Rhinolophus ferrumequinum: one gene and its partners. The protein of the gene in region 1 purifies or fractionates together with the protein of each later gene. This does not show direct contact. Links are inferred from orthologs where the notes say so. Each region holds a gene or a part of one and is shown in the gene's direction. Other genes may lie near its edges.

Region 1 (7,263 bases):
AGAGGGGCTGTCCTATGTCCCCTCCCAGGAGGGGAGATCCAGAGAGATGGCCCCCGCTCAGATCAGCCAGAAGCCACCCAAAGGAGTTAAGCCTATGCCAGCGGACCGAATAGCTGATGTGTTGCCATTTTCAAAGTCAGAGCAAAACCAGGTCTTGTTCCACCCGGTGGATTCTTTTGCCTTCCCCCCCCCAAGATTATTGGCATCATTGTTATTTTTAAGAACAGACAGGTTCATGTTCCTGCGAGGGGAGTCAGGAGGGTGTGAGCAGGGCCGGCCTGGCCTTGGTAGGAGGCTGGGGTGGGCCTGAACGGCCATGGCTCAGACGAAGGGTGGGCACCTCCCTGGAGACCTCCTCTGCTGTGGCCACAGGTCAGGTATATGCTGACGGGGCAGACTGGCCACTCTTCGCCTGACGCAGCTCTTTCTGGACAGGCCAGGTAGCGGGCATTACCGTTTAGTAGGACACTTCCATCACATCCCACCCCGTCCCGCAGCGCCCCACACTAACGTGACCTCTTATCTTAGTCCCCACCATCTCGTGTGATGAGATGCGGAGGGTGCGCTCTCTTAGCTGTCATCCAATTCCCAGCAAAATTTGGACGTGAGAACCCCCCTTCCCTTTCCATGGCAAAGCCAGACCCTTCTCAGAGAAGCTGTTCCCCCCACCAGACGGTTTGGGTTCACGGAACGGACAGAGATGTGCTCACTTCGCGCCAGGCGGCACCTCCTCCCGAAGGTGAGGGTAGTACTCACTGTAGTGACCATTTGCACGTGGGGTTTGGTAGCGGGTAGAACCAGGCAGGGTGGCTGCCCCCCCCCCAAGTCTCAGTGACACAGGCCAGCCACCCTGTGCAGAGGGAAGCCCGGCTGAGGGTGGGAGAGGTATGTGTGAGGCGCGGGGAGCCGCCCAGGACAGACTTGGCTGGAGATGTCTCAAAAAGCCCTCTATCACATTCACCTTCAGTTTTTGTGTTTTGGGACAATTACTTTAGGAAATAAGTAGGTCGTTTTAAAAAACAAAAAATATTGATTGCTTTTTTGTAGTGTTCAAAAAAAGGTTCTTTGTGTATAGCCAAATGACTGAAAGCACTGATATATTTAAAAACAAAAGGCAATTTATTAAGGAAATTTGTACCATTTCAGTAAACCTGTCTGAATGTACCTGTATACGTTTCAAAAACACCCCCCACTGAATCCCTGTAACCTATTTATTATATAAAGAGTTTGCCTTATAAATTTACATAAAAATGTCCGTTTGTGTCTTTTGTTGTAAAATCAAGTGATTTTTTCATAAGGTTCTTTTACTATTTGAAAAGATGGGCAGCACGCAGTTTTATTTTATTTTTGTAAGTTTTTTAATACGTGTGAAAGCAAAGACTACTCAGCATGCCTTTCTAAGTGACGCGTTTGCACCTTTTGTTGGGAAGTACTGTATCCTGTGCTGTTAGCATTCTCGATAAATCTCTCTGTGAAAGTGACTCAAGGTCTGGGCTTTCATTATCAGACAGCTCACAGGACAGCATGGTGGTGTGTTTCCTGATTCGGTCTGGCTGTCCCTGAACAGAGGAGAGCCAGCCACTTTCAGGACCGCCCTGAGAGGAGAGGGCAGCCTGCTCCATACACCACCTCCCCTTGGGCGTTCCAAGGCCGCCCTTGCCAGGCACACTGCTCCTGCATGTGTGGGGAAGCTCTGGGTGGCAGGCTGGGAAGGGCCTGGCACAAATCTGCCCGCCGTGCCCTAGGTCAAGAGGCAGGCGGGCTGCAGAACAGTGGCACAACCTCCCTGTTCCTGAGGGCCACGGTAGGGGTGCCTCTTTGGTCGGGATGTGCCCAGGTGCTTTTGGAAAAACAGCCCACTCCCAGCTCAGGCTCCTCCTGTGCCTACCACCTGAGACCCTCCCATAGCCTCTGCTGAACTGGCTCCCTGCCCAAGGGGGGCGCTGTCATCACTGGGGTTTGCAGGTGTCACACCCTGCCTGTGCCCCTTGGCTTCCCCGTAAGGCTCTGGCCTCTCTGGAGCTGTCTGCCCCGCACGGTCATCCTCACCAGGCCCTTGCTGGGCTGGAGGGGACAACTGCTCCGTGTCCAGCTTCACGCGCAAAGGTGGACGCACCTATTAGAAGGTGCACTCGAAAGCCTTGGCCTTAAACGTTAAAACAAAGGGTTGAAATTCAACCTGTGTGCACTGAGCATCTTGTGTGTGCCAGGCCTGTCCAGGGAGCTGCAGTCCAGCAGTGAGCAAGTAGGGCCAAGCGTCTGTTCCCTTAGAGCTCAGTGTGTGTGTATCCGCATGGTAATTCCCATCCTCAGGGTATGGGTGGCCCCCTCTGTGGGAGTGGCTGACACTTCTGGGAAGAGGTTCCAATGGACGCCCATATTGGGCGCGGGTTTTTGCAAACATCCCCGAGTCCCTGGGAGGACAACCTGGGGTGGGGAGCCCTCTGGGGTCAGAATCGAGAGGACAAGGGGGATGGACGGTCAGGGAAGAACTGTTACCTTGCAACAAGCATGCCTCTAGCTGGAGAAACAAAAGAAGAAGGCACCTGGTACTGTTGGCTGGGTCTTCCCCATCTACTGGGGGAGGCTCAAGAAGGGCACACCAGAGATGCCAGGCACAGCGGGGGCTGCAGACAGCTCTGCCACAGGGCCCTAGGGAGCTTGCACCCTAGCTTCCACCTGGAGAGCTGTTTGAGCTCAACCTTGTCACATGACGGCCAGGAAACTGCACGTGCTAACTCGTGGACACAGAAGGCCTGGCGCTTTCTCGGAATCATAAGGAGTTCTGGATGGCTTACGGCTGCTGGTGTGTGCAGAGCTAGACATGAGGTGGGTGTGCAGGGGCCATGTGGTGACGGCCATGGAGGCTGCAGTCCAGAGCTGCGACCCATCAGAAGGCTCCGGGAAGCACAGGAGTCTTTTGGCAGGAAAGCCCTGTGGCTTGATTTGTGCCAGAGGAGGAGCACCCAGGCAGACATGAGGCGCGGAAGCCATGAGGGAGCCGGCAAATTCATCCAGGTAAGAGGTAGTAGTGAAGGCAGTGGGCCCATGGGGAGGAGATGGACTCCGGACATGTTTGGGGAGAAGACAGGAACATAGTGGCTGCTGATGCGGAGTGGAGCCATGGAGGCTGCAGAGCACTATGGGAATGGGCAAGAGAGACAAATATGACCCAGACGCCAAACTGAGCTTGGTGCCTGGCCACTGCCTCAGAAAAGAGAGTGGGAGAGAGAGGCCTGACTGCCGCCCTCGCAGGGGGAGCGCAGACTGAGCCAGAAACGTGATCACGAGAGGGAAGAGGGACAAGAGGAGCTGAAACCTTGTTTTTAAGAGAGACAAGCACGGTTCATGTGCTAGTGGGAAGGAGCCAGCAAAGAAGGAAGAGTGGCAGATATTGCTACGAGGTAACAATTGCTGATGCAGGTGCCTGCAGGAGGGAAAAGACGGGATCCAGGGCACAGGAGGTGGGCGGAAATGCTCTGAGCCGGGGCAGCCTGCGGGTACGAGCTTCCAAACCGTTCTCCCTGCACCCGACCTCACGGGCCAGCTGACGGGAGTGAGCAGGGGGTGGGAGTGGGGCCTTTGTGGAACCCCCATCTGACCCTGTCCCTCCAGCATCTCTGACGGCTCTCCATTGTCTCCAAATAAAGTCGACACGTCTTAAGGGGACGTCCCAGCGGCTGACGTCCTCATGGCCTCCGTCCTCTTTGCTGAGAACGGCTCTCCTCCATCCGTCAGAGCCCCACTCAGACGACCCCTCCTCCTGGAAGCCCGCCCTGCCCGCCTGGCCCCGCGCAGTGGCGCTGCCTCCGCGGGAAGGGACCGCTTGTGGCGCCCCCGTGTGGCCGAGGGCCGCGGTGGCCGCGGCGGCCGCGGCAGCGGGCAAGATGGCGGAGTCTCGGGTACCGCCCCTTCCGCCCCGGCGGGCGTCGCACGAGGACGGCTTAAAGGGGAAGTGAGTCAGTGTTTGCGGACCCGGCCGGCCGAGGCCCGCGCCCGCCGTGGCCCCGGAAGGCCCCGAGAGGCCCCGGCCCGGCGGCGGCGGCAGCGGCGGCGGCCATGGCCGGGGGGCCGGGCCCGGAGGAAGCCGCGGCCCCGGGCGCACAGCACTTCTTGTACGAGGTGCCGCCCTGGGTCATGTGCCGCTTCTACAAAGTGATGGACGCCCTGGAGCCCAGCGACTGGTGCCAGTTTGGTGGGTGGCGTCGGGCCGGCGGACCTGCGGGGCGGGGGGCGCGCGGGACCCAGCGCCCAAGCCTGACGCACCCCACCCCGCAGCCGCCCTGATTGTTCGCGACCAGACCGAGCTGCGGCTGTGCGAACGCTCCGGGCAGCGCACGGCCAGCGTCCTGTGGCCCTGGATCAACCGCAACGCCCGCGTGGCCGACCTCGTGCGCATCCTCACGCACCTGCAGTTGCTCCGCGCGCGGGACATCATCACGGCTTGTGAGTGCGCGGCTCCGGGACCCCAGGACCGGAGGCCTCTCACGGGGCCCCTCCCCCTGCCTGGGCCTAACCATCCTTTCTGTCTTTGACGTCCCAGGGCACCCTCCCGCCCCCCTCCCACCCTCCAGCACCACCTCCCCGAGACCCAGCAGCCTCTCTGCACCCTCTGAAGCAGAGGCCCCCAGCCCCGGGAAGTTGCAGTCGTCAGCCTCCACTCTCCTCTCCCCAGGTAAGACAGCCCTAGTGTTGGGCTTGATGGACCTGAGAAAAGGGCCACCTTGACCATGGCCATGGCTGTAGATCCTGCCCCTGGTCTCTGCCTGCCTCTCACTGGTGTCTTTACGAAGCTTTTCCAGGCTTCCAGGCTCATTCTGGGCCTGAGATCGGCCGTGTCCCAAGCCCTGCTGCCCTCCGGCCACCACCACCACCACCTCTATCCTCTTCTACCAAGGTAGGTGGGTCCTGTCCCCAGGAAAGGTTCCAAACAAGTAACAAGAAACCCAGTCTTTGGTACACCAGGGATCCCCAGCCAGCCCAGCAGGGCCAGCTGGGAGGCAACTGGGATGGAGGTAGCTTGTGGCCAGGGCAGAGGGGAGGAGACAGGACCTTACCTGATTGGGGTCTCTTCCCACAGCAGAGCGCAGGGAACCCAGTGTCCCTCCTGCAAGGTACCCACCCCTCTCCATTCTGCTGGCCCCTCCATGAGATTTCCCAGGGCACCCACAACTTCTCAGAGGAGCTGAAGATCGGAGAGGGTGGCTTTGGGTGTGTGTACCGGGCTGTGCTGAGGAACACAGTGTATGCAGTGAAGAAGCTGAAGGAGGTGGGTTTAGCATCCCAGCGAGGGCCCTGGAGGGCCAGCAGCAGACCCTCACTTTTCTGGTCCAACCCCCTGCTTCCCACACAGCTCCTTCAGCCCTCTGATTCCCCAGCTCAAGCCCCCCCCCAGCCCCTTGGTTGTTCTGGGCCCAGGACAGATGGCACTGGGAGTGGCCATCGAACCTTGGCTGCAAGAGCCTCATGCTGCCCCTCTTCCCCCGTTTTCCCTGGGGGCTCCAGGAGGCAGACCTGGAGTGGACCACTGTGAAGCAGAGCTTCCTGACAGAAGTGGAGCAGCTGTCACGGTGAGCCTGGGATGTCCCTCTAGGACCATGCACCACGGGATCTGGCTCCCTCAGGCCCCCGAAGCTTGCCATGCCCAGCCTAGCTGAGAAACCAGCAGGGACTGCCCACCCCCGACTGACACAGCCATATGGAAAGCGCGGTGGAGACTGGGTGGCAGAGCACTCAGGCCCCAATTTTCCAAGCAGGTTTCGTCACCCAAACATCGTGGACTTTGCTGGCTACTGTGCTCAAAGTGGCTACTACTGCCTCGTCTATGGCTTCCTGCCCAATGGCTCCCTGGAAGACCGCCTCCATTTCCAGGTAGTCTTACCTGGCCCGGCACGTTTCCCCAGACCCACAGCGTCTGAGTGGTGTGGGGCATGGGGCCTAGCGCCTGAGCTCTCAGCCTCCGTGAGTGGGTCTCACCGGCAGGCAGGGCCTAGGCTCAGGGTTTGGCCCAAGGTGCGATGTCGTTTGCCCCAGAACTCTTTCCCATGGCCTCTTCCTGGCTGTTCTGCGTGCCCAGGAGCCTGGGACCATGGTACCTCTGAAAATGGGGTTATTGACTCCGAGTAACCTGACTCGGGCTTCTTCCCTTTGCAAGCAGAGTAGCTGAAGGGTCTTGTCAGTATTGCTCTTGGGGAAATGGGGCAGTGGCAGCAGGCTGCACTGTCTGGACCCACAGTTGGGCCCTGTCTAGCGAGACACCCACAAGACTCAAGGGCGAACTGCACACTGTGTTGGGAGAAGTGGAGAGAAAGCCTCCAGTGACATCCTGATCGCCCTGGGACAAATGAATGAACTTCAGGAACTGAGGACCGCGGAATTCTGTGATGACTCTGGAAAGCACATTCTCAGCCATTTTCCCAGCATGCTTTACAAAGCAGTGGGAATAGCTTAATCTCGCTCCTCTTGTAATATAACTCATGGAGATTTTGCTCCTCATTTTTCAGAAGGAGAAACAGTCCCAGAGAGTGAAGTGCTTGTCCAGACCCCGTGGTGACAGGTGGAGGGAGGGTTGGGGTCAAGGAATGGTGGCGCCCAGCACCCCCTGTGCCCCTTTGCTCCCTCTGCTGCTCCAGGCCCGGGCCTGCTCCCCACTCTCCTGGCCTCAGCGCCTGGACATCCTTCTGGGCACCGCCCGGGCGATTCAGTTTTTACATCAGGACAGTCCCAGCCTCATCCACGGAGACGTCAAGAGGTGAGGAGGGGAAACAGCTAGTCCCCTGGGTCCCCTGAGAGCTGCAGGGGCGGAGTCCATGGCAAGCCCATGATGCCCCCAAACCTTCCACCAGCAGAGCGTCTGGTCCCCAGGAACCCTGCCCTGAGTGCCCCCATGAAAATAGGTCTGCCCTCTCCTGCTCGAGGCAGAGGTGGGGATGGTGCAGCCCTGGGACGGGACGTCAGAGCTAGGGGCCCTGGGTAACGAGTAACTGGCATGGGTGGGACAGGTGTGGAAGCGGAGTCCAAGGATGCCCCACTCGTGGGGCCGAGCTGTGCAAGGGTGCACTGGGCTCTGCTTGCTTGGAGACTCTAAGGAAGCTGGAATGATCCAGCAGCACTAGTCGCTTTCTGTGAGCAGGGTGCAGGTTGGCAGTCCGAAGTCCGATGACGTCAGGGCCAGGCAGGTGTCGGGGGGGCAGAGCGAGCTGGGGCCAGGGCCTGGCTGACACGGTTCCCTTCTCCCCTAAGTTCCAACGTCCTTCTGGATGA
Region 2 (7,428 bases), on another chromosome or scaffold:
TCACACACTGTTACTAAGGTTCGATGTGCTGCTTCCCATATCAAAGATCCCTGCCTTTGCATCACATGGCACTCGGCAGCAGCATTCATTGTATTTTGTGATCACAACAGAAAGGCTCTGTGTCACACATCGCTTGAGGTATGTCAATTTCCGCCAAATAAAAACATTACAGTATGTCCTCATCCACCTTATTCACCAGATTTGGCACCATGCAACCTCCGGTTCTTCCCCAAAGTCAAAATGACCATGAATTGTAAATGTTTTGAATTGATTCAGGATATTGAGGCTGCCATGACAGCACAACTAGACACAAAAGAGGACTTCCAGAACTGCTTTTGAAAGTGGCAAGAACGAAGGGATAAGTGTGTTTGAAGAGAGGGAGAGTATTTTGAGGGGGATTAATGGCAATGTGTCTCTTACTGTAATAGGTTTCTTTAAACATTCACTGATTTTCTAATCACATTTCGTAAGTGTTAAGATAGAGACAACTACAGGAAATCGCAAATCAAAGTTGGGAACACCCTACCTGTAGACCACTAGTACATAGGAATAGAAATCTAACATGCAAAAAACATGCCTCTCCTAGCCTTTTATGGGGCCCAGGGGAAAAATATAAATGGAGGTTCACATATTCTATGTCTAAATATTCATAAGTTCTAACTCAAGATAACCAACTTATAAAAGAAATACATTCTATCTTCCTACCTTGACAATACTAACTTCACTAGAATGCAGTGATGTGATCAAAACTTGCCTTCAGCTCCTGACTTATCCCCCATCTCCTCCTACTCTGGACTCAGTTCTATACTGCAAGGAACCTTACACACCCACATGTGGACACCCTGACCTACCCATCTGAGCCCACTCACACTCCCTCCCCACAAAGAGATACCCATTGGCTAGCCCTCAAGACCCAAATTCATTGGTCACTTTTGAGTTTTTCTCATGTTTAACTTCTTGGAAGAATTCAACACTGAAAAACCTTTGTATCTTGGTTTCCACTCATCATAATTTTGTTTTCCACAAATTTCTTTGGCAGTTCCTCTACCCATGCCTTAAAATTTTTATTTCTTAAATCTGTTTTAAGTCCTACTCTTTTTCACTTCTGTAGGTGATCTCATTCATTTCCATGAATTAAATTATTATCAGCAGGCCAATACTGTTACATAAGACCGGGTCTTATATTAATCTTTGCTCCAAAACACGTAGTAGAGCTGATTGTCCGGCTAGGTCTTATTTTCGGGGAAACACGGGAAAACGGCAGAAAACTATTTCAGAACTTCCTGGAAATAATATTTGATCAGGTTGGCTAGTCTGGTTCTGAGACAGGGAGTAAAGACAGCACTTTTTAGGTATAGAGCAGACCTCTGAATAATAAACATATGTTGGTTGCATATCCAGCAACCATTCCCTGCTTTGTGCCTCTTAAATCTTCAGATTTTTCTCCTAATTAGCAGCTGCTCCTCTTCCAAGCCCCTGCTTTAGTGAGTTCTGGATCTAAGCTAAACAAGATATTTGCCTCAAACCTCCTGTCCTCCATTCCTCACTCAAGGGTACAGTTGCCAAAGTCTTTTAAAAAAGAAAGTTCCCTGCTCTTCTCAGATAACTAGCTACTAAAAGAGGTGCTTCCTGTCATTGTACTGAAAAGTGTGATGTCATATGAAAAATTAAACTGCTAGAGCATGCATTCTCAGTGGGGGTAAAATCGCCTCCAAGGGGTGAACATTGGGGAGAAAAAAATCTTACTCTTTTTATGTATAAAGCAGAAATATGTACACAGTACATAAACAGATATACAGTATTATCTGTGGTATTAAAGCTTTGGGGGGCATTAGAAATAGCCTTAAAAGACTCCTTAGGGGGCAATGATATTTTAAAAGGTTGAGAACTACTGTTTTAGAGCAATGACAAATACCACAAAAGGCAGAAAGCAATCATGGAAACTCATTATTGATACTATTATTAACTTTAGAAATCAAATGACACCTGAAGCCTGTTCTAGCTCTTGACTTTCCACTTAACTAAGCCAATTAATCCCCTTTATTGTTGAAGCCATTTCTCACTTGGACAACTGAGTAGATGATGGGATCCTTCATAAAGGATCCCAAATGCACACAGAAGAACAAATCTGTGGTGGGTGATAACTTCTAAATTTGCTTTTGCAAGTTTGAAAGGTGTTTAGGTTTCTATTTATCATCTAAATAGAGATGTCCAATAGGTCCAGAATTCAAGAAAAATTTGAGCACTGGGAGAGATTGGGAGTCATCATAAAAGTGGTATAGGAAGTCAAGGCCTGGAGTAAAATTATCCAAAGAGTGTGGAATAAGAAATTATTCCTTCATTCTTTTATCCATTCACCAAACTATCGAGTGTTACTGGAACTACAAATAAAACATGACAATGTTTTCCACAGGAGTTCCTGTCTTCTTGATTGCCAAATCCAATACCCTATTTGCAGTCCCAAATGTGTTTAACTTACGTCTATACAGCATTTATTTGGCTGCCTTTTTCTTAATTGGAAAGCTCTCCTCCAGTGATATTCAGGTCACCGTTCCCGTTTGCCCCTTTCTGTTCCTTTTCAGTCTCTTACCGAGACTTAAAATTTGACATTCACAGGGTTTCATCCTTGGTCTGAAACCTTCATCTCTAACTCCAATTATCCTAGTTAACTTCAACTCAAATTGACTAAATAAACAGCTAGTTCAAAACTAAAATTTGTGTTGATAGTACAACACAGGCAATACTTTCCGCCTTGGAGATACACTGACCTAAGTTCTACAAGCTTGTGAGGATCATAATTGTTTTTGACAAGGAGAAAATTCTGCAATGTTCTAAATTACAGCGTAGGGAGAGTGAGACAGAACTGTTAGTCTGTTGATGGCTGCTCGCCAGCTAACAAAAGACTGCTCACAATCTTTGTACTGCCTATTGAAACTTTATACTAATTTCCAGGTGGTTATTACTACAGGTGATTTTAACCAGGCACCATCCAACTCCAGGAGCTCCACTTGTTTACATGTGGGCTTTCTCCACTGGTGCCCACAGCCAATCTACAGAAACGGACATTTTTTATGGGGACCCTGCGCCTATCTCACCTCCCACCCTTTTCCTACAGCTAATGTAAATTCTTTAAGACTACCTTTCTTGTCCCTTCCCCCTACTTGATGTATAAAAACGCTTGCAAAACTCTGGGAGGATGGACATGCTCTCTTTTCTATCTAGCCATGCTTCTGGTGGTTTAGACTCCATGCTCCAAGACCCGTCTTCTTTCTGGCTTAGCACTTTGGCTCAATAAAACTTTATCTTAAAAAAAAAAAAGAAAAAGAAAAAAAACTTCAGTTATGGAAGTTATCACTCCGTATGTATTATTAATATTAATGCAACCCATAACTTCATATGAACATAACAAATTATGTCAAACTATTTATTTCTACCTTATCTAATATTAACTTCTGTTCTTGAGAACTCAGCCTACATACTGTTATCCAGATTATATGCGCTGGCTCGCTCTGTATTATTTTCGTGAGACTCTCTCCGAGTCAGAGACTGACTCAAAGTAACAGTAGCAACTGTTTCCTTCCATAAACCACACTGAGGGAAACACCTTTTCCAAGGCTTCTTAAAGAACTAGTTCAGCTTAGCTTAGGGGTGAAATTAAAATGGTTCATCACATAAACTCAGTCCAACACTACCCCGGCCGTCTGCAGGTCTCTGCGAGAAAAGGGACCAGGGCCATAACATACTTCACCAAGTAGAGGTGAAACCATAGCTTTTATCTTTCCCGCTGGTTCCTAAAGGACCAACCGCACAGACATTCCATCGTGCTCCGCGCTACTTCCGTTCGCGCATTTGATTTACGTCAGAGCGTCAGCTCTCGCGGTATCATCCGATTGCTGAGGCCCTTTAACAAAGATCTCGCGAAATTTGGTCTACAGATCTAAGCTAGCCTCTTACCCTCCCCCGCCCCACCCCCAAAACTGTCCTTCCTTTCTCAGTCTCAGTTAAAAAAATTCTCACTTCCCCTCCCTCGAGCTCGCTACCCTCCTCCTGTTTCCGATTTCAGGCCGGAACCGGAAGCTTAGTGGGCGGGGCCCGGCGGCGGAAAACGCAGCGGAGCCGGAGCGGGGACTCCGCTGTGGCCGCTGCCCCTGTCCCTTCCACGGATCGCCGTGGCTCCAGGCTGAAAGTCGGTCAGGAGGCGGGTGGGCGCGGGTCTCCCCCGGAGTGTCCGGGCGGCAGCTTCCCCGGGCCCCCCGGGCTCCGCGAGGGATCATGTCTACAGCTTCCGCCGCTTCCTCCTCCTCATCGTCTTCGGCCGGTGACATGATCGAAGCCCCCTCCCAAGTCCTCAACTTTGAAGAGATCGACTACAAGGAGATCGAAGTGGAAGAGGTGAGCGAGGCCCGGCACGGAGGCGCCGGCCCCGGCCGCTCCCACCTCTACCTGTTGTCGACTCTTAAGGCGCCTCCGCGGCCCCTCTGATTCACGGAGCCCCTCGGGGTTCACCGGGGAGTCCCAATATCCCCACAGAGACCGGGTGTAGAGCGGACTCTCCGCGTTCAACTGCTCGGGGGTAGCTCTATTTTTCCCTCACTTCGGCACTCTTGAGTTTGGATTTGACACTCCGGTGCCTGGATTTGGGTCATCTCAAACAGGAGGATGAACTGGTGAGACAGTGTGGTCCACCAGTTCTCTCATCTGTAAGTAGTAAATTCATCCAAGCCCGTGGCCGTTTTGGAGTTTCGATTCACTAAGACATGGTGTTCTTAAGGGCCAAGGATTGTACTTTATATTCGACATTAGCTCTGCCTGGCACGTAGTGGGTGTTCAGTAAATGCTTGGTAAATTAATACATCATTATATCTAACAGTTTCCCCGAGGATCGAATGGTTTGTTTCGCCGATTCCCTAGGAGCAGTAGGGAATGTTGTGTTCTGCCTTCAGCTGGACTAAGTCAGATGAATTTCAACAATAGTAATATACACTGGTGTGCGATGAAAAGATGTTTCAAGTATCGTATTCTGAGGCGATAACTAATGATTTCGGTGACAACTAGAATATAACACCAGACCACAAAATCGCTGTTAGAAAACCCGAATCTATACTTTATTTTGCAGTAGTTTAAGGGTAATAACATGTGCCTGTAATACATTGCTGCTTTTCAAATTCAGAGGAGTAAATTGGTTCTAAGGACCATAACATACAGAAAAGCAAAAATTGTATATATTTTAAAGACACACTTTGCAAAGTGTTAAACCTTTGGTTGAAAATAGTATCTATCAGTTACCATTTACTTATCAGTTTTAGAATTTATTAAGTACTTTGTATTACGTATTCCACGAAGAACCCTGTATGTCCTATATTACAGACTTTTGGTTATCTCTATTTTAAAAATCCAAAATTATTTTTAGGTAGTGACAAGCTAAAAGATAATTATCACTTAACAAATAAGTTTCTTTTCTATGAATGTTTTGGAAGAAGAATAGGTTACTTAATCATATTTTTTTATTCCATAAAGAAACCTTAGAGATCACCGAGAACAACCTTATTTTACAAGGTAGTTTAAATGGGAAGAACGAGGCCTTTTGGAGTTAGAGGAAGGTCCAGTATATTAGCTATGCCACTTAATAGTTGTGTGATTTGGAGCAAGTTTCCTAACTAATCCCTTGGAGCTTTAGTTTCCTTAACTGTAAAATAGGGGTAATTTCTATTTCATTTTACCTGTATAACAGATGCTATTAGGCAACATATGCATTACACCCAACACAGTGCCTGACACATATTACTAGGAAACAGTTCCAGAGTACAACAGTGACCTGCTTTAAGGTCACATAGCTAAAAGAAGGACCTGTGGTTTGGAAAAAGGGGGGGATTTTTGTGTGTGGATATGTTTGTTTTGTTTTTTTCTATTGAGGCTAAGATAAATTCCTTTTTCAGAAGTGGATAGTTTATCCAACTTTCATGGCTAACATTCTTTCTTTTTTAAGAATAAAAATTCAGTGAGTCTTTCTTTTTTAAGAATAAAAATTCAGTGAGTCAGTATAAAAGAATTGCAGTTTTTAAATAAGCATTTACGTCTACTCTGTGGTGAACTGTCATGCTTGTAGACTACAAATTGTTATATAATAATAACTTGTACTTCATGGTCTACCAAATGCTTTCACTGAGTTACATCATTTGATCCCTACAACATTAGGTTCTGCACACTACTTTCTAAAGCATTTTACATTCTCGCTTCTTGGAGGAATGAAAGTTATTAAAAGGAGACAGTAACTTTTTGCTGCTCTTCCCCCAAAGCCATTTAACTTCTAACTAGGTTTTTATATTTCCAAAGACCTTTCAGTTTAAATAATGTTTCAACCTTTCTTTGGTATACTTAGGACATTTCTGAGATGTAGTTTTTTGTTTTTAAATGAAAATTTCTAATATTAGGCAATCATTTAGGGTTTTTTTTTTTAAATACCCAGTTTATTTGCCCTTTAAAGATTATATTTGGATGTTTCTGATGTTGCAGCCATTACATAATTTTCATCAGATTTCTTCATTTGCATACCTTAAAATTGTGGTATATGATCCAGAGTGCACCATGGGTACTCAGTAACTATTTCTCAACTTAGATTCTGCTTCTAGGTTAAAATCATTAATAAGAGAACAGAAAAAGACCAGAAACAGAAAGTATTTTACATTGCTTTTAATATTTTGTATAAGTATAGCCTATAAATAAAGAAAATCATATTCCAAATTTGTGAAATAACATTGTAATTGAATCCGTATACTGATTCATTTTGAAACTATGTAAGAAAAATACTCCAACCACAGACCAAATATACAGTCATTTGTTTAGTTGATGCATATGTTTAAGGCATCAGCTGATTTAAATGCTTACATCCCTAATAGTGTGCCTCTATAATCAGTGTGGCATTTCCTAAATTCAGTTCTGATATCAAATTATGAAAGGTCTCAGCCTTGGAAATCTACATAGATACTTTTTGTTTTAAGTCATTTAGTTTTTACCATTCTGGATCTGAGTGTAGAGAATGTTAGAGTAATTTCTCTGAGGTATGTACATTTTGGGAACTAGCTTGCAAGAAGAGGTAAAAGTGGTGTGATATGGTGAGAAGTGTTCTTGGTATTTAGAAAATTTAGATTCTGCCATAACATATTTCAGTAACTTTGAGCAAGACACCTCATTTTTCTTGTCCTCTGATTTCTCACATAACATAAGAGATTGAAAAAGATCACTTAAGTTCTTTTTCAGTTCTAAAATGAAAACGTAATATATTGTTTCCAGTATTTATGCCCTGTTTCCACAGTAAGCTTTAGGGACAGTGATCGTGATCTCTCACGGAATGGACAGGGCAAGTGATATCCACATTGTATAGATATTGACAGATGGACATGGAGTTTGATTTGCCAGAAGCCTTAAGCC
Region 3 (7,992 bases), on another chromosome or scaffold:
AACATTCATCCTTATGGATGCTGGCTAAATAGCTGCCACCAAGGTAGTTGTCCTATATGTATTCAGAGCTGTTATCTGCCTCACCTGTTTTCTCTCTTACTTGTTCAGATTTCCGAGACTTTGATGCCTGTGCTTAGTCTGTGCTTGGCCACTAATAATACTGTAGACCTGTGCCATTGTCACCAGATAGCCTTCAGGGTTTCCCCAGCATCTCCATTTGTTAATCTTTGCAGTTCATAATTCTCTTCCCTTCAGATGGGATGGAAACACTTTTTTCTTCTCATATCCAAAATTTGGGTGGGTGGGGGGAATTGCAGTTGGAGAGGATTCCATGGCAAAAGACTAGGTCACATAGTGAAACAGTTTTGAGGTTTAACCACAGCCCTCTCTTTGCCAGAAGGCATGTATGCTGGGAGTGGGTGGGTAGGGTGCAGGGTAGGTTGTGGATTCTAGTACAGGCTCAGGATCATCTGGAACTTCACACTGTTTCTGACCACGCTACTAGAATCATTCTCTACTAACACTTCTCTCAGGGGCTCAGTTGCCTCTCTCTGCAATCCAGTTTCCATGCCCATCTCACAGTCCACAGATATAGTTGTATACATTTGAACTCCAGTTTTCAACAGAGTTTAGTTTCCTTCCCATGGGTTTTATAGGCCCTCAACAAATCAGGGAGTATTACCAAATGTATGTTCACTGTATCAGTTAGTATGTGGTTGGCTGAAAATAACGAGATTCCTGGCTTAATAAGGTAATTTATGTCATTTAAGTCCACAAGGAAGACATTCTCCACGCAAAGAATCAATGAGCTACTTAATGATGTTACCAGGAATCTGTTTTTTTCTCTCACTAGATGATGCTCGGGGATCACTTCATTCTAATATTGATCTGCATGTGGCTGCAAAATGGTTCCAGAGATGGCCAGAACTGCTAACTGTTCCTATTCAGATCCAGAGAAACAGACATCTGAATGAAACTTGAAACTTGGTCCCTGTCAAGCCATATGTTATTGCCAGTTTCAGTCACATGCCAGCCTGAATCTCAAGGCATAGACCACTGCAGTTTTAAATTTGGAGTCAGGGTAGACCTTAGCCAAGTGGGAAGAGCATACCAAGCAAGGGAATAGCAAGTGCAAAGGCTCCAATATGGGACTCTCCTGGTGTGTTCAAGGACCAGCAAGGAGACAGTGTGGCTAATGCAGAACGAACAAGGAAACAATATCACAGGGTCACAGAGCAGAGGGGCAGCGGGAGCGGAAGTGGGAGAGAGAATTCAGACAGTATAAAGAGTTTGACTTTTACTCTGACATTTGAACAGAGGAGAGACAAAATCAGATTTGATTTCAAAGATCAATCTGGATGCAGTTTTGAGGAAAGCCTATAGGAAGCAATAGTGAAAGCTTTTAGTTAGGGGACAACTATAGTACTTCAGACAAAATATGATGATGAATCAAACCTAGGGTGGCAGTGGAGATTGAGAGAAGTGTGAAATTCTAGATATAGTCTGAATAGAGTCAACAGGATTTGCTGGTGGATTGAACGTGGGCTGTGGACAAACAGAGGAGTCAAAGATGACTCTATAGTTTTTGGTTCGAGTAACTGGAAGGATTGAGTAACCTAGACAAGGAAAATTGTAAGAGTAGGTTTGGGAGGCATGATCAAGAGTTCAATTTTGAACATGAGTCTGGAGTTTGAGAGAGAGAGAGAGGTCTGGGTTAAACATACAAGGTTGGACAATAATGTTCATGAACTCATCCTAGAAAAAGTGCTACATACCTCACTGCTAAATATCACTACGGTCACCTTTGAAGTACTCCCCTTGGGAAGCTGTGCACCGATGCCAGTGCCTCGTCCACCCTTCAAAGCAATTTTGGAACTCTTTTTCTGGAATGGCCATAAGGGCTGTCATCATATTACCCTTGATGTTCTGAATGTCATCAAAATGTCTTCCTTTCAATATTTCCTTTATTTTGGGGTAAAGAAAGAAGTCACTGGGGGCCAGATCAGGTGAGTAGGGAGGGTGTTCCAATACAGTTATTTGTTTACTGGCTAAAAACTCCCTCACAGACAGTGCCGTGTGAGCTGGCGCATTGTCATGATGCAAGAGCCATGAATTGTTAGTGAAAAGTTCAAGTCATCTAACCATTACACGCAGTCTTTTCAGCACTTCCAAATAGTAAAGTTGGTTAACTATTTGTCCAGTTGGCACAAATTCATCATGAATAATCCCTCTGATATCAAAAATGGTTAGCAATATCGTCGCAACAAGTTTACGAACTTAATTGTCACACCTCGTATATGGCAGTCCTAAGTAGATAAGTGGTTTTAAAGGCTCAACACTGGTCCAGATTACCAAGGGAGTGGGTATAGATAGAGAAAAAGATCATGGACTGAGCCCTGGGGCACTCCAACCTTAAGAGTTAAGGGAGAAGAGGAGGGACAACAAAGAAAGCTGAAGAGTGCCTAGTGAAGTAAGTGAAAATGTCAGAGATTGTAGAAGACAAATGAAGAAAGTGTCCAAGAAGGAGGTAGTGATCAACTTGTCAAAAACTATTGACAGATCAAATAAAATGAGGACATTACATTTAGCAATGATAGGAACACATAAGGTGACTCTGAAGACAGCAATTTCAGTGGAGTCAGGTAGGAGGGGGCGGTTCTAACTAGAGTGGGTTTAAGAGGAGAGGAGAAAAGTTGGAGACTGTAAGAATATTCAACACTTTACTACAAAAGGGAGCTAAGTAATTGGGTGGTTGATAGAAGGGGGAAGTGGTATCAAAGAAGTTATTTTTTTGTTTTAAGGTGAGAAGAAATAACATCACATTTGTATGGTTATCGAATTGATCAGTAAAGAGTGAGAAATTGAAGATAGGGCCGAGAGCAAGGAGAACAGCTGCCCTTGATGTCTTTGAGTAGGGGACAGGAAATAGGATCCAGTGCACAAGTGAAGGGATTAGGTTTAAATTGGAGCCTAGGTAATACAGCTATGGAATAGCAGGCAGAGTGTTACTTTGGTACAGACGCTGGTAGGTAGGTCAACACGGTAGTGAAAACAACACGGAAGTTTTCTCCTGAAGCATCAGTATTCTCAATGAACATAAATGGTCATCAGCAGAGCATGAAGATTGGGGAGAAGAGGATGAGAATTGAGGAGAAAAGAGAAGGCATAAAACAGTTGTCAAGGAGACCAAAAGAGCAAATGGACTAAAGGCACATAGTGTAACTGCCTGGCAGCATAAAGGACCCACTTGAGAGTCATGGCTTTGATTTTAAATTGAGTCAAATTAACAAGATTTGGGTTTTTTCACTCCAGCTACACTCAAGTGTATGGGTGCAGAGCCCCACATTGGAAATTTGGATTTAATCAGGATGGTAGATTTGCCAAGGCAGTTCAACAAAGTGAGAGATGAGCAGGAGAATGAGCAGATGCAAGGGAGGAATTATAATAGAGTCTGGACTTTATAGATAAGGAGACAAGTGAGGACATCAAGAGGGTGGCATCAGAGATGAGGTGGCAAGATTTTGGATTTGGTATCTTGAAGGGGCAGGGCGATTGTTGAGGTCAGAGTACTAGGGAATGCACGGCAAATACAGAAGGTGTGGTCAGAGAGTGGATTCATAATATAAAACAGAAATTATGGATGAGGTGCAGTTATTGATAATGACAAGTTCTAGGGGATGATCATGAGCATGAGTGATTGAAATAGGGTGGAGGAAAAGATCATCGGAGGACAGGAGTCAAGGTACTGAGAGTCCAGGGAATTGCAAAGATCATCTATTCTACATATATTGTTAATCACCAAGAATTAAGACGGGATTAGTATTGAAAAGAATTATAGTGAGAAGGAGCTACATAGTCTAAAATTGAGGAGGAGAAGGAACTGAGTGGGGGGCGGGGAGCAGAGAATGACAGCAACAGGGAAGTGTACTGAGTGATACAGGGTGATGATATAGAATTCAAAACTCAGAGGCAGTTTTAGGGAATAGGGAGAGAGCATGGTCTGACACTAACTACCAACACTGAAAATACAAGAGATTTCACATAATCTATATAGAGTTCATATAATCTGGCTGTCACATAAAATTCTGGCTTCTTTGTAAATCAGAAAAATCTGGCCTTGCTGACTGCTTCACTCTCCCATAATGATTTCCTGGCTCCTGTATCTGACCTTGGTTCCTCTGTTCTAGCAATTCAAACCTACCTATTACTTAATCGTATCTTGCCTCCATTTCTCACTTTATTCAGGTAATCCCTTTGAGAGGTGTAGGGTTTCTTAAGCGTGTACAGATTGACAATAAAATCGTAGCCATTTGAACAAAGGGACATAGAAACTCTTGCCCAAACGGTATTGCCTTTAGCAATTTTCAAATATATGCTGTGGAAAACTTTAGCTGAGAACAACTTGGAAATTCTGGTAGAGCACTGAATGATAGCATACCATCACGGTTGATGTCTAGGGGGCGCCATTCCCAAAGACTACAAATTTGAAAAGTTTCAAATAGGTGTTGATATTTTTCAGTGGGTAGTCACTGTCCACCCTTCCAGGCTTTAAGGTTGGGATTTTTCTCACCACTTTCAAAGGATTTCCTCTTTTTTATCAGAACATCTGTTTCAGGCCTGCAGGGGGGATATTACAGCATAAACGGCAGAAGATTTCAAAACAATGGTCAGTTTTACCTAACCTCCATGTTAAAAGCGAAATGAAGAAGGAAAAGGTGGGCTAACAATGTTGCATCAGTAAATCCCAGAGAGAACACAGTAAAACCAAACAGCAGTATGTAGAATGGGCAGCAGCTTCGTGAAGAAAATGACCACAATTTTATTTTGCTTTGTTCTCTCGTGTTCATCTTTTCCAATAGTCACTTCATATATGCACATGTATCTGTTTAAATCCAGTAGAAGTTGGAAGGAAAATACGCCAAAACGTTTAGAGAGGTTGTTGGTTGTCTTTGGCTGAGTGGGGCTATGAGTGATTATTTTCTTCTTAATTTTTCTGTTTTTTCCAAGTGTTCCTTAATGTATTGGGTTTCTGACCAAAATAAAACGAAATAAACTTTTTAAAGAAGTAATGGCAGCTCTCATGTCCATCCACTTCAAGAGACGGTCATGCCAGGGCAGGCAGGCAGAGGGGGGGGCAGACTGTCCATTAGTTCTGCATTCTGGTCTTTCTCCAGCTCTCACTCTTTGCTTTGTGTCTTCAGTCACGTCCCAATCCCAGAGGAATGAAAGGATTGCCTGAAATTTAAAGCCAACGTGAAGGAATCAGCAGAGGCAGGGAGACCCCAAGGCGAGGCTGGGCGTCCCCGTGGACATCTCTGGGGAGTGGTGCTTTGCGTCATGTGGGGCCCGCCCCTTCCAGGACCTCGGCTCGGCGTGTTCTGCCGTCTTGGCCCCGGTCGTGGAAGCAGGATTTCCGCGGTTGTGTAACGGCATCTCGCGGGCGTGCAGAGACCTGGGCTCCGCATCCCGCCTCCGCCGGGCCCCTGGTCTCCGGCAACCGAGCCATGGCCTGGGCGGCGGCGGGGAACTGCGGGGCCAGCGGCGCGCTCTCGGTGCACACGCTCCTGTTCGATCTGCCGCCCGCACTGCTGGGCCAGGTCTGCTCAGTCCTGGACAGCTGCGACGGCGCGCTGGGCTGGCGCGGCCTGGGTGAGTGCGCTCGACGGCGGCGGGCGCGGCCCGCGAGGGGTGGTGGGGGCCTCCGCGCGCACGCTCTGTCCGACCGGCCGCCCGCGCTGCCGGGCAGCTCGGCGCGGTCCCGCGCAGCGGGGAGCGCGCGCCCCCGCGGCGTGCCCCCGGGGGATTCCCACGGGCTAACTGCCCTCTCCTTGTTTTGGGAAGGACACAAAACTCTCAGAGAGCCTCCCAGGAGCCTTCCCTTCTCTTTCAAAGAACCTTTGGTTATCGCTGGAAGATAAAGTGAGAGGATGCTTGGGCAAAAGTTACCCTACGTACTAAAACCTTCTAATGTTTATCAATTATTTCTGCCTTCCCTGGTTCAGAGTATTTAAAATCCGAAAGGCGATGTGATGTCTTGTCATTGCTAAATTACCCTAGAATATAATTTTCATATTATAACATTTTTATAACTTTAATATTTCTCCTTTGGTGTTTTCAGTGCATTCCCGTCTCCACCTTAACTAAATTTTGGGTGAAATGCTAAAGTAAAATACTGTTTGTAATTAACGTGGCTCCCAGTTTTCTTAATTACATGTATCATAGTCATCCAATTTGATGGAATGAAGATTTATGCTAGAAAATGGCTTTTTGTTTCAATCCAAAGTTGGCATCAGAATTCCATTTTATGCAGTCATTGGAAGGTTGCACAACTGCCTGTTGGAAGTGTTGAGTGTGATCACCAGAAATGATTCAGACAGAAATCTTTGTTTTGTTAAGTGCAGGCGTTTTTGGTTAGATTTGATACTCCATGATGCCACATTTAATTTTAGTTGAAAATAAACACAATTATGTCAAAACAACTTAGCCTTAATTCTCTGAAATAGCTATTTATCTTACCAAGAATAGCAGAAGATCTATGAGGAAAGTTTTGTTTGTTGTTGTTAAATATGGTCACACTTTCTGCAATGTGGCATTTGGCTTCCAGTTATATAAAAATTGTTTATATAAGCCCTATAATTTTAAAATTATGACCCTTAAGTAAAACCCTCAGAAAAGGATACTTGAGTCTTTGATTTCTGGAAAACATAGAGATTTCCAGGATGCATTTGAGGGATAAGATCCCTCCCACACCTGATCTTTTTGAAATGAATGATGGCATTGGCAGTTTTCGCACCCATTGGTTTCCCTCCATTTGTGAGAGAAAATGTTTTTAGCCTAGTCTATTGGGTAGCAAATGGGGCCGGGGAGGTATCATAAATGAGTGAAGCAGGTTGGTGGACACTTTGAAAATGGGAGAAAATATGTCTCATCCAAAAGGGACAGTTACTAGTAGTACTCAGTTCCGGGTGACTGTTGCTTTTCAGTATGTTTAGCCCAGTGTTCCTGACTCTCTTCTCCCCTCTCCTCTCCTCTCCCCTCCTGTCCCCTCCCCTTCCATCCCCTCCCCTACTCTCTCTCTCTCCCCATTGCAATCCAGATATTCCATACTTTACATGGGTTGTTACATATAACTCTTCCAATTGCCCTATGAGACAGGTGCTATTATCATCACCAGTGTTTTAACAGGTGAGGAAACTGTGGTGCAGATTAGTTAAGTAATTTGCCCAAATTGGCACAGCTAGAGCCAGAACATGAGCCATGGCAGTCTGGATCTAGGGTCTGTGCCCTTACCTACAGCCACTCTATATTTCCCACTTCCCAACCATGATTTCCTCAGAGTTACAAGTACTGCTGTGCTTTCTCTGCTACATCTTACAGCCTCCCTAAGTTACAGCCGTTTCTGCCATAACAAGGATTCAGTGAACCATTTATAACATGCAGCCCCATTTTCCTAGTTATGGAAATAATTGAAGGCCACCCAAATGAGAACAAGCAAAGGCTGTTTATTCAAAGCGAGTGAGTCAGCCACCATTACTTGCATTTGACAAAGACACAAAGGCAGGCAGAAGAGTAGAAAAGCTTTATAATGGAAAAAAGAGTCGGCTTCAGGTATGCCCTGATTGTAGGCTATTGACATGAGAAAACTGTAAAAGGGCTAACTAAAAGTGGGGGATTCTATGTGATTGTTCAGGGGTGCATATTTGGCTTTCTCCAGTTGGCCCTAAGTTGGAAGCAGGGGCAAAAATTAGGGAAGCCGTCAGTTATTAATCAAGTTCAGACCGTTTGGGGCCGATTGTTACAGGGGTTATTTAAATTTCTGTACTAGTTGTTACAGATACTAATTTGACTTCCTGGACTAGTTACTATAGATAGTAGATTGGCTCCCTGGACTGGTTGCTACAGATAGTACTTTGACTTCCCAGACCGGTTCTTGTAGATGGTAGGTTGGCTTCCTGGGCTGGCTGATGCACGCTGTGGGCCAGAGTTCCATTT
Region 4 (7,807 bases), on another chromosome or scaffold:
CAGGTTGGCTCCCCATTCCACTAAGCTGTGGCTAGGGGATCATGTCACAGAGATGAACATAATTGCCGGGGAAGCATCATTGGGACTAGGGGAAAGCAGGTGCACTGGGATGCCCCACAGTAAGTATTTAATAACATTGTTAATGAACGGGTAAAACTATAAACAAGAAGGCTTTCAGGATTTCAAGATCTCGGGACAATTTTTAGCCCCTCCTGTGGTTTTTGCTTCTCTCTATTCACCTGCCCTTCCGCCCTATGTCCTCTCACTGGCTTCCTCAGCTCCCTCGGGTTCCGCCCCCTCTTCAATCACCGTGCTGATGGCTGTCACAGCTTCACTAAGCCCCTCTACCTTCTGATCTTTTAGCTGGAACAAGTCCCTACCCATTCAAATTACAGAGTGTGAGGGTTTGATTGAACCAACTCATCGTATTTTTAACATTGTTACTATTATAAGCAAACAGAAAGCTCCTACAACAAGATGTACAGCTTAACCAGCTATTACAAAACGAGTATTCAGGTGACTATCATTCGTCAAGAAACCAAGCAGCACCCTGGACAGCACCCTAACGCTCCCCATGTGCTCCTTCCAGGTTATAACCACTGTCCTGATTTTTATACATTGACTTCCTTGCCTTTCTTTATTTTTACCACCTAAGCGTGCATCCTGAACTGATATACCTTAGTTCGGGCTATTTATGAGCTTTATATCAATGGAATCATACTCTATGATTCCATTGTATGTGTTTGGCTTCTTTTGCTCAGTCATGTTTTTTTGTTTTTGTTCTTTTCTTTTTTTTAGTAAGAGCTATATTGAGATATAATGCACATATCAACCATACAGTTCACCCATTTGAAGTGTACAGTTTACTGACTTTTAGTATGTTCACAGACATGTGTAACCATCACCACAGCAAATTTTGGAACATTTTTATCACCTCAAAAAGAAACTCGTACACTTCAGCTATCACCTGTCATTCTGCTACCCGTCCCAGGCCTAAGCAACCACTACTGTATTTTCTGTCTCTATAGAGTTTCCTGTTGTGACATTTCCTATAAATGGAATCATACAGTATGAGGCCTTTTGTGACTGGCTTCTTTCACTTAGCGTAATGTTTTCAAGGTTCATCCTTGATGTTTTCAAGGTTGTGGCACTTATCAGTACTTCATTCCTTTTTATGGCTGAATAATATTCCATTGTATAGATATATTAAATATTGTTTAGCCATTCAACAATTGAGGAACATTTGGATTATTTCCACCTTTTGGCTATTACAATAATGCCGCCATAAACATTTGTGCACAGGTTTTTGTGTGGACATATGTTTTCATTTTTCTTGGCATACACCCTAGGAGTGGAATTATTGGGTCATGTGCTAACTCTATGTTTAACTGTTTGAGGTACTGCTGGACTGCTTTCTTAGGTGGCTGCACCACTTTACAACCCCACAGGTTGTGTACAAGGGTGCCGATTTCCCTACATCGTGCCAACACCTGCCTGCTTTTTCCTCAATCTACAGGTCATCCTTTCCCATTTCTTTGTATGACTTATAATTTTTGTTGGAAACTGAATATTTTAGATAATATATTGTAGCAACTTGGTTCTGGTCCTCTGCCTCCAGGGCCACTGATGTTATTGTTATTTGCTTGTTTAGTGACTGGCTGGATTATTTTTTTGAAGTCCATCCTCCCCTTCCTGCAGCCCGAGTATAAAGCCTCTGCCCTTGGTCCTTAGGGAGTGCAGCCTTGGGTGTGCCTGCAGTCACCATGGGATGACAATGGTTTGTGCAAGGCTCTCCTTGACTGACTCTTTCCCTGACCACACCCAGCTGTGAAGCTCTACTCATTGCCAGCTGAGTTCTTTATTGTTTTCAACAATGTCTTGGGACATAAATTGCTCCAATCGAAGACAATCAAAGACTGATCCAATCAAAGGAATAGAGTTTGGGTCCCCAGATCTATCTATGGGGGTTCTATCTTTTTCCAGCCCTACCCTTCCACCTGTGACAAGGCAGAGCCCAGCATCTTAGCTCTTCTTTCTCCTCTCCTCTCCAAATTGGTTTAGCCCAGAAAGTTTGTTGTTGTTGCTTTTGGTGTGTTTGTTTTGTTTTTTGAACATCCTTTCTCAACTACATACACAAATATTATTCCACATTGTTTACACTAGCCCCTTGCCTTTGTTCACTTGAACCCAAATATTGAAGAAATCAGGGTTATATCTTGTTCCTTCCCCACCCCCCTTTTGTTTTGAAGCAATAGGGTCATGATCTAGATTGAAGACAGAGAAGGGAGGGGCTGAACAAAGGAATTTCAGAACAATACTGCAAATGTTTATGCCACCACATAGGTCCTATCATTCCCATTTTATAAATAAGAAACCGAGGCCTAGAGAGATTAAGAAGCTGGATTTCTTGGGACAGAGCACCGGACTTAGAGCCAGAAGCCAGCCAAGGATGAAACTTGGGCACCTGTGTCTGTTGGTGGTGTCCTAACTCTCCTTTCTTCTCCCCCATCTGGACAATGCTGGAATCAGGGTCCACCCCAGGCTCCCAGAGACCTCTTGGGATCTGGCTGTGCCCACCATGCAGCTCTGATTCCAGCTGAACCCAGCGCTCTACCACAGGAGAAATCTCTACCTCCTGTGGCGAATCCTGGAATTGCTCTCAACCTTTTCTCCCTGCAGTCTGGTGTCAGGTGGTGGTAGCATTGGAGCTCTGGTCAAACTTCGGATCCATACTCGCCTGGCTTTGTGATCCAGGGCAAGTATACCCCCACCCCCACCCCCACCCCCCCAAAAAAAACACCCAGCCTCATTTTCCTCACCTGCAAACTGAAGATTCTAATAGTAATTCAGCACACATTCACTAAGGGCCTTCTCTCGCTGGCAACGTGCCAGAAACTGGGAGCACAAAGGAGAGTGAGGCTGTGCCAGTGTCCCTGTGGCCTAAGATGGCTGTGCATACCTGGCATGGAAGAGGGCCTACTGTAGGCACTCAGGGATGGAAGCTATCCTGTGGCACAGGACTTGTATGACTGGCTGCAGGCAGCCCAGCAGTCCAGTCTGCTCTGCTCAGTGGTGGCGTCTCAGGGAGTTTCTCTTTGATTAATGAGTGCCTTGTCCTTAAAGGACTTGCAATCGGCAGCTTTCTTGTTTCATCTGGCTGCTGGGGCCTCAGAACAGTTGGCAAAGCAGTTGGTATCCTGAACTATTTTTAGGTGGGGGAGTTAGTGGGGTGTGTGGATGTGGTGAGGCCCCGGGGGTCTTGGAGACTGGGAGTTTTGTAAGCAACAAGTTGGGAGTGGGGGGGAAGGACGGTACCTCTCAGGAATGTATGGGCAAACTCACTTATCCTGCTTGGCTGGGGCCAAAGGCCATCTCCTCTGTACAACCTTCCTTGATTTGCTCAATAAAACACGCACTCCAAAGGCGCAGGTAAAGGGGTCACCCTCTGAGCTTCCCCCAGCTCTTGATTATGGTTCCAAACAGACCAAGCAATAATGAGCTGTAGGGATCTTATCTGATGTACCTCTGAGCCCCATTCTGCCATCGCTAGTCGTAACAACAAGGTATAGAAGTTAGGAGTCCAGACTTTGGAGTGACACAGCTGAGATTCACTCTTGGCCCCGTTCAAGCAAAATAACCATGACCAAGTCAGGTTCGTAAATTTGTTTTCTCATCCGTAAAGTATGATCGTGCTTGCCTCCCAGCAATTAAAGGGCTTATTTTGCTTAAAGCACAGAGGATAGCACCTGACAACACACGACAGACGAACTATCTCGCCAGCCGAGGCCGAAGGGGTTGCGCGCCCTCAAAAGTCTGCATCCCTTTTGTGGCATGACGCGTGGTGTGAGCGTGCTGGCGGGCAGGAGGCAGGTGTTCCTGGACACCTGGCGGTCCAGGCCCGCTGGAGGTCACCCAGCAAGAAAGTGGCCGAGGTGGGCTGGAAGACGGGTCTGCAACTCCAGTCAAACGCAGCAACTTTCCACGTCCTCCCTGCTAACGCACACCCCTTCCACCACCTTCTCTAGTATTTTCCTTCTCTTCTCTTTCCCGCCTCCGCTCTCTCCTCTAATTCCGCGGCTTCCCTATATGGGAGTTGGGGTCTCGGGCGGGAAGAGGAGAGTCCCCGACCTAAGCTGGGGAAAAGGGGCTTTCTGCCCAGAGCGAAGGCCCTAAACTGCTGTGGAGGAGGGGGCGCCCGGCTCTCTGGGAGAATCCGGAGTCCCGAGAAATGAGGGTGGGGTCTAAGGAGCCCAAACTGGGCAAGCCGGGGGTCGCTGAAAGGGCGATGGTGGCCGAAGGAATTCCCGAGACAGTGGTGGGAGGGGCTTTCAGGACCGGGGGAGGAGCCAGGGTGGGGGCGTGGTCTCCGGAAAGGGGCGGGGCTCCGAGGACAAGCTCCAAGCTTCGCCGCAAGAGGCGGAGTCTCGTGTGGGGCGGGGCTTTCCTGAAGGCGGGATCTAGTGGGCGGGGCATAGGGCAGGGGGCGGAGCGTGGCGGTTCGCGCCCGTCCCCCTCCCCCGGCCCCGGGTGTCCCTGTGACGAGGCAGCACACAGCCGCGGCGGGCCGGGCCGATCCCGCCGCAGCGGCCCCGGGGCCGAGCAGGGGCAAGGCGCGGAGACAGCGGCGCCAAGCGGGTCCCGGAACGCGGCCAGGTAAGGCCGCCGGGGCGGAAGGGGCGGGGGCTGCGCCGGGCGGGTCCTGACGGGCGCGGGGTGTGTGTTTGCGTGTCTGGGGGTGGCAGGGGTGTGGGTCCGAGGGCGGGCGTCTGTGGCAGTTTGCGCGCTCGCGCGGGAGGTCGCGGGGCCAGGGTGGGCTCTGCGCCAGTCCTGGCACTGCCCGCGGGGCTCGGGGAGTGCGGGACTGTGTGCGTGCACGCGCGTGTTTGTGTGGCGGGGCCGCCGGGTGTGTATCTGCGTATGCGCTGGGCTGTCATTGTGCCTGCCCTGGGCGCAGGGCGCGGGCCTGCCCCGGCGCAATCCCTCCTGCGCGGGGATGTTTTCCAAACAGGCTTCCTGCGGAGACGGGCTCTGCTGCAGCCAGAGCTGGAGGGGGGTGCGCCGCCCCCACAGGCCTCCAGAAACCCGGTCGGCCCGGGGACTGCAGACAGACACCTGAGGGAGGAAGGGGGCGCGCACCCAGGAGGGGTCCAGAGGCCTACCCGCAGGCGAGGCCAAGATGGGGAGACTGAGGCAGATGGATAGGGAGGTGGAGGTGGCCAGACAGGCAGAGATGGAGAAGAGGGTGCGAAGAGAGGTGGTGAAAAGGACAGAGCCTGGAGAACAGAGAGGCATTGAGAAGAGACAGACAGACAGAGGCCCAGACCTTCAAAGGTGCAGAAAGATTAAGATGGACAGACAGATTCCAAGAACCTGACAGAGGAGTTACTCAGTGGTCCTAGGGCTGAGAGCTAAACCCAGGAACTGAGTCTAAGATAAGGAGTAAGGGTCCAGGCCAAAAAGAAACCTCTGGCCACCCCAAGTTGGTCCATCCCTTTGGCCCCACCAAATTTTCTGACCCTCTGTGTGGATTGTTTCCCTCTTAGTTCCATCAAACCCATCAACTCCCTCCCCTGGTATCCCAGCAACCCTGGCAGTTTAGGAGAGGCAGAGGTGAAATGGTTGCCATAGCAACAGAGGCAGTGAAAGGTCACTCTGGCCTTAGCCTAGGTGGCCCTGCAGCAGGCCAGAGCTGGCATTGAGGGGGGTTGGGATGAGAGGCTGCAAAATTCTTTTTCTCCTCTCCCATTCTGCCTAGAATGGTGCTGGAAGGAAACCCTGAAGTAGGGTCCCCCAGAACCTCAGACCTCCAGCACCCTGGGAACCAGGGCTCTTGTGTCCTCTCTTCTCCCGGTGACGATGCACAGCCAGGCGAGGAGCCCATCAAGTATGGCGAACTCATCGTCCTGGGGTGAGCATCCTTGGTCCAGGTGTGGTGGGGCACCAGGCACCCCCACAGGACAACCTGACCCAGGGCCCCAGTTCTCCCTACCTACGACCTTCTGCTGTTTGTCCCTCTTTACCTTCTCATCTAAGAGACAGAGTTGACCAAACCCTCCTTAATTCATAATTGTTCTTTTATCTTCCCATTTTTCATAAATTACTGAAACAACTTTTAACTGCCCACCTAAGTTTCTGATCAGAAAAAAGTAACACTGCTGCCTTTCATAAAGCACCGTGTGTGTGTGTGTGTGTGTGTGTGTGTGTGTGTGTGTGTAGTCTGGAGTGAAGAACTCTGGTTTTCTAGCAAAGTTGCTTGGTTCAAATCCTGCCTCTGCAAGTTGCTTAACTTCCCTGTGCTTCCGTTTTCCCCTTTTACAAATAGGGATGATGATAATAATACCTCAGAGGGTTGTCAGAAGGAATGAATGAGGTGATTTCCGTAAAGCACATAGAACAGTGCCTGGCACGTATCAAGTGTTCTGGGAGGCAGGCCTGTGCCAAGCCCTTTCATGGACATTGTTTCATTTCAATCTTCACCAAGATGCTGTGAGGAAGGAGGTGAGGAAACCGAGGCTCAGAGAGGGGAAGTGACTGGTCCAAGGGCACACAGCTGGTAAGTGGCAGGGCTGGGATTTGGACCCAGGTCTTTCTTACTCTAGGTCTAGTGCACTTTCACTAAACCACAGCTGACCCTCATGCTACAGATGAGAAAACTGAGGAGAGAGGAAGAGCCGTGAGTTGGTGGCTGAGTAGACCTCCTCCCTTCCTGGTCTTTGCCTGACCAGGATCCCTGCACAACCCACTTAGTTCATCCCCCAGGCACAGATCCCTCTTCCTCCCCAATCCATGTATCTTTTTGGCCTCTCTTTCTGCCATCTGTCCTGAAGAAAACATCTGATAAGCTATCTTATCATTATGAAGATTATGTAGAAATAATGGCTACTGTTTGTTGACATGTACATGCCATGTGCCTTTTATGAAAAAAAAAGCTAACATTTGTAGAGAGGGCTTGTTGCATATATGCCAAACTCTGTGCCAACCATTTTAAATGCTTTATCTCGTTTAGTTCTCACAATGAACCCATGAGGTAGGTCCTGATCAATTGCCCCATTTTACAGAGGTCATGTGATGAGTGGAAGAGCCAGGATTTCAGCCAGGCCCATCTGATCCCCAGCCTGTGTCCTGAACTGCTCCACCCCCATATGTGAGAAGAGCTTACAAGGGCAAGAGTGATACCCGCCTCAGGGGTGCTTGTATTAGACTAGCATCTGCTCACTGTCCCAAAGACATGGCTGGCTTTGCAGCTGAGAGTGAGGCCATGACAGGGGAGATTGCAGACATAGGGTCAGGCCCTTTGGACAGCCGGTGGTTCTCTGCAGAGCAGTGAAGCCCCACACCGACTGTGCATCAGGGCCACCTGGAGAGTGCACTGAAAATACCCAGTGACGGGACCATCCCAAACCTGCAGAATCAGAATGTCCATGGGTGGGGCCACGGATCTGTTTTTTAACAAGCTGGTGAGAAGATTCTGATTCAAGTGGTCTGTGGCTGTATTTAGCATCTATTCGTTCTGTCACTCCTGCTGCGAACCTTCCATGGCTCCCCACTGTTTACAGAATAAAGTCCTGACTCCTGAGCCGGATGGTCAGGGCCCTTCCACCAACTTCATCTTCCCTTACGGCACTTCACCACCTGTCACACCGGACTCTGCCAGCCTCGGGGCCTTTGCTCAGGATGAGTCCTCCCTCCAGAAGGGCTTTTACAAGAGAGGCTGGAGTCAGACAGACCCGAGTTCAAATCTAGACTTTTTCACTTACTAGCCTAGGACCTCAGGCAAGTCATTTTACCTCCCTGAGCCTCAATTTTC

Evidence for each region.
Region 2: the proteins of IRAK1 (region 1) and MAP3K7 purify together in Homo sapiens (affinity purification with western blotting; 5 studies listed by BioGRID). This does not show direct contact. The link is inferred for Rhinolophus ferrumequinum from reciprocal best matches to the Homo sapiens genes IRAK1 and MAP3K7.
Region 3: the proteins of IRAK1 (region 1) and IRAK3 purify together in Homo sapiens (co-immunoprecipitation; 3 studies listed by BioGRID and IntAct, with this or other methods). This does not show direct contact. The link is inferred for Rhinolophus ferrumequinum from reciprocal best matches to the Homo sapiens genes IRAK1 and IRAK3.
Region 4: the proteins of IRAK1 (region 1) and PELI3 purify together in Homo sapiens (affinity purification with western blotting; 7 studies listed by BioGRID and IntAct, with this or other methods). This does not show direct contact. The link is inferred for Rhinolophus ferrumequinum from reciprocal best matches to the Homo sapiens genes IRAK1 and PELI3.

The regions. Positions count from the first base shown.
Region 1 is NC_046284.1:6,426,936-6,434,198, forward strand, and holds the start of IRAK1 (interleukin-1 receptor-associated kinase 1), read left to right. Parts: upstream 1-4,011; 5' UTR 4,012-4,059; coding exon 4,060-4,195; intron 4,196-4,278; coding exon 4,279-4,446; intron 4,447-4,543; coding exon 4,544-4,675; intron 4,676-4,793; coding exon 4,794-4,897; intron 4,898-5,080; coding exon 5,081-5,269; intron 5,270-5,505; coding exon 5,506-5,570; intron 5,571-5,756; coding exon 5,757-5,871; intron 5,872-6,632; coding exon 6,633-6,751; intron 6,752-7,242; coding exon 7,243-7,263.
Region 2 is NC_046286.1:47,046,231-47,053,658, reverse strand, and holds the start of MAP3K7 (mitogen-activated protein kinase kinase kinase 7), read left to right. Parts: upstream 1-4,103; 5' UTR 4,104-4,272; coding exon 4,273-4,392; intron 4,393-4,490; exon of another isoform or gene 4,491-4,700; intron 4,701-7,428. UniProt on the Homo sapiens protein: Serine/threonine kinase which acts as an essential component of the MAP kinase signal transduction pathway. Plays an important role in the cascades of cellular responses evoked by changes in the environment.
Region 3 is NC_046293.1:62,865,725-62,873,716, forward strand, and holds the start of IRAK3 (interleukin-1 receptor-associated kinase 3), read left to right. Parts: upstream 1-4,647; 5' UTR 4,648-5,504; coding exon 5,505-5,649; intron 5,650-7,992. UniProt on the Homo sapiens protein: Putative inactive protein kinase which regulates signaling downstream of immune receptors including IL1R and Toll-like receptors.
Region 4 is NC_046294.1:5,518,013-5,525,819, reverse strand, and holds the start of PELI3 (E3 ubiquitin-protein ligase pellino homolog 3), read left to right. Parts: upstream 1-4,476; 5' UTR 4,477-4,653; intron 4,654-5,755; 5' UTR 5,756-5,756; coding exon 5,757-5,908; intron 5,909-6,481; coding exon 6,482-6,553; intron 6,554-6,622; exon of another isoform or gene 6,623-7,807. UniProt on the Homo sapiens protein: E3 ubiquitin ligase catalyzing the covalent attachment of ubiquitin moieties onto substrate proteins. Involved in the TLR and IL-1 signaling pathways via interaction with the complex containing IRAK kinases and TRAF6.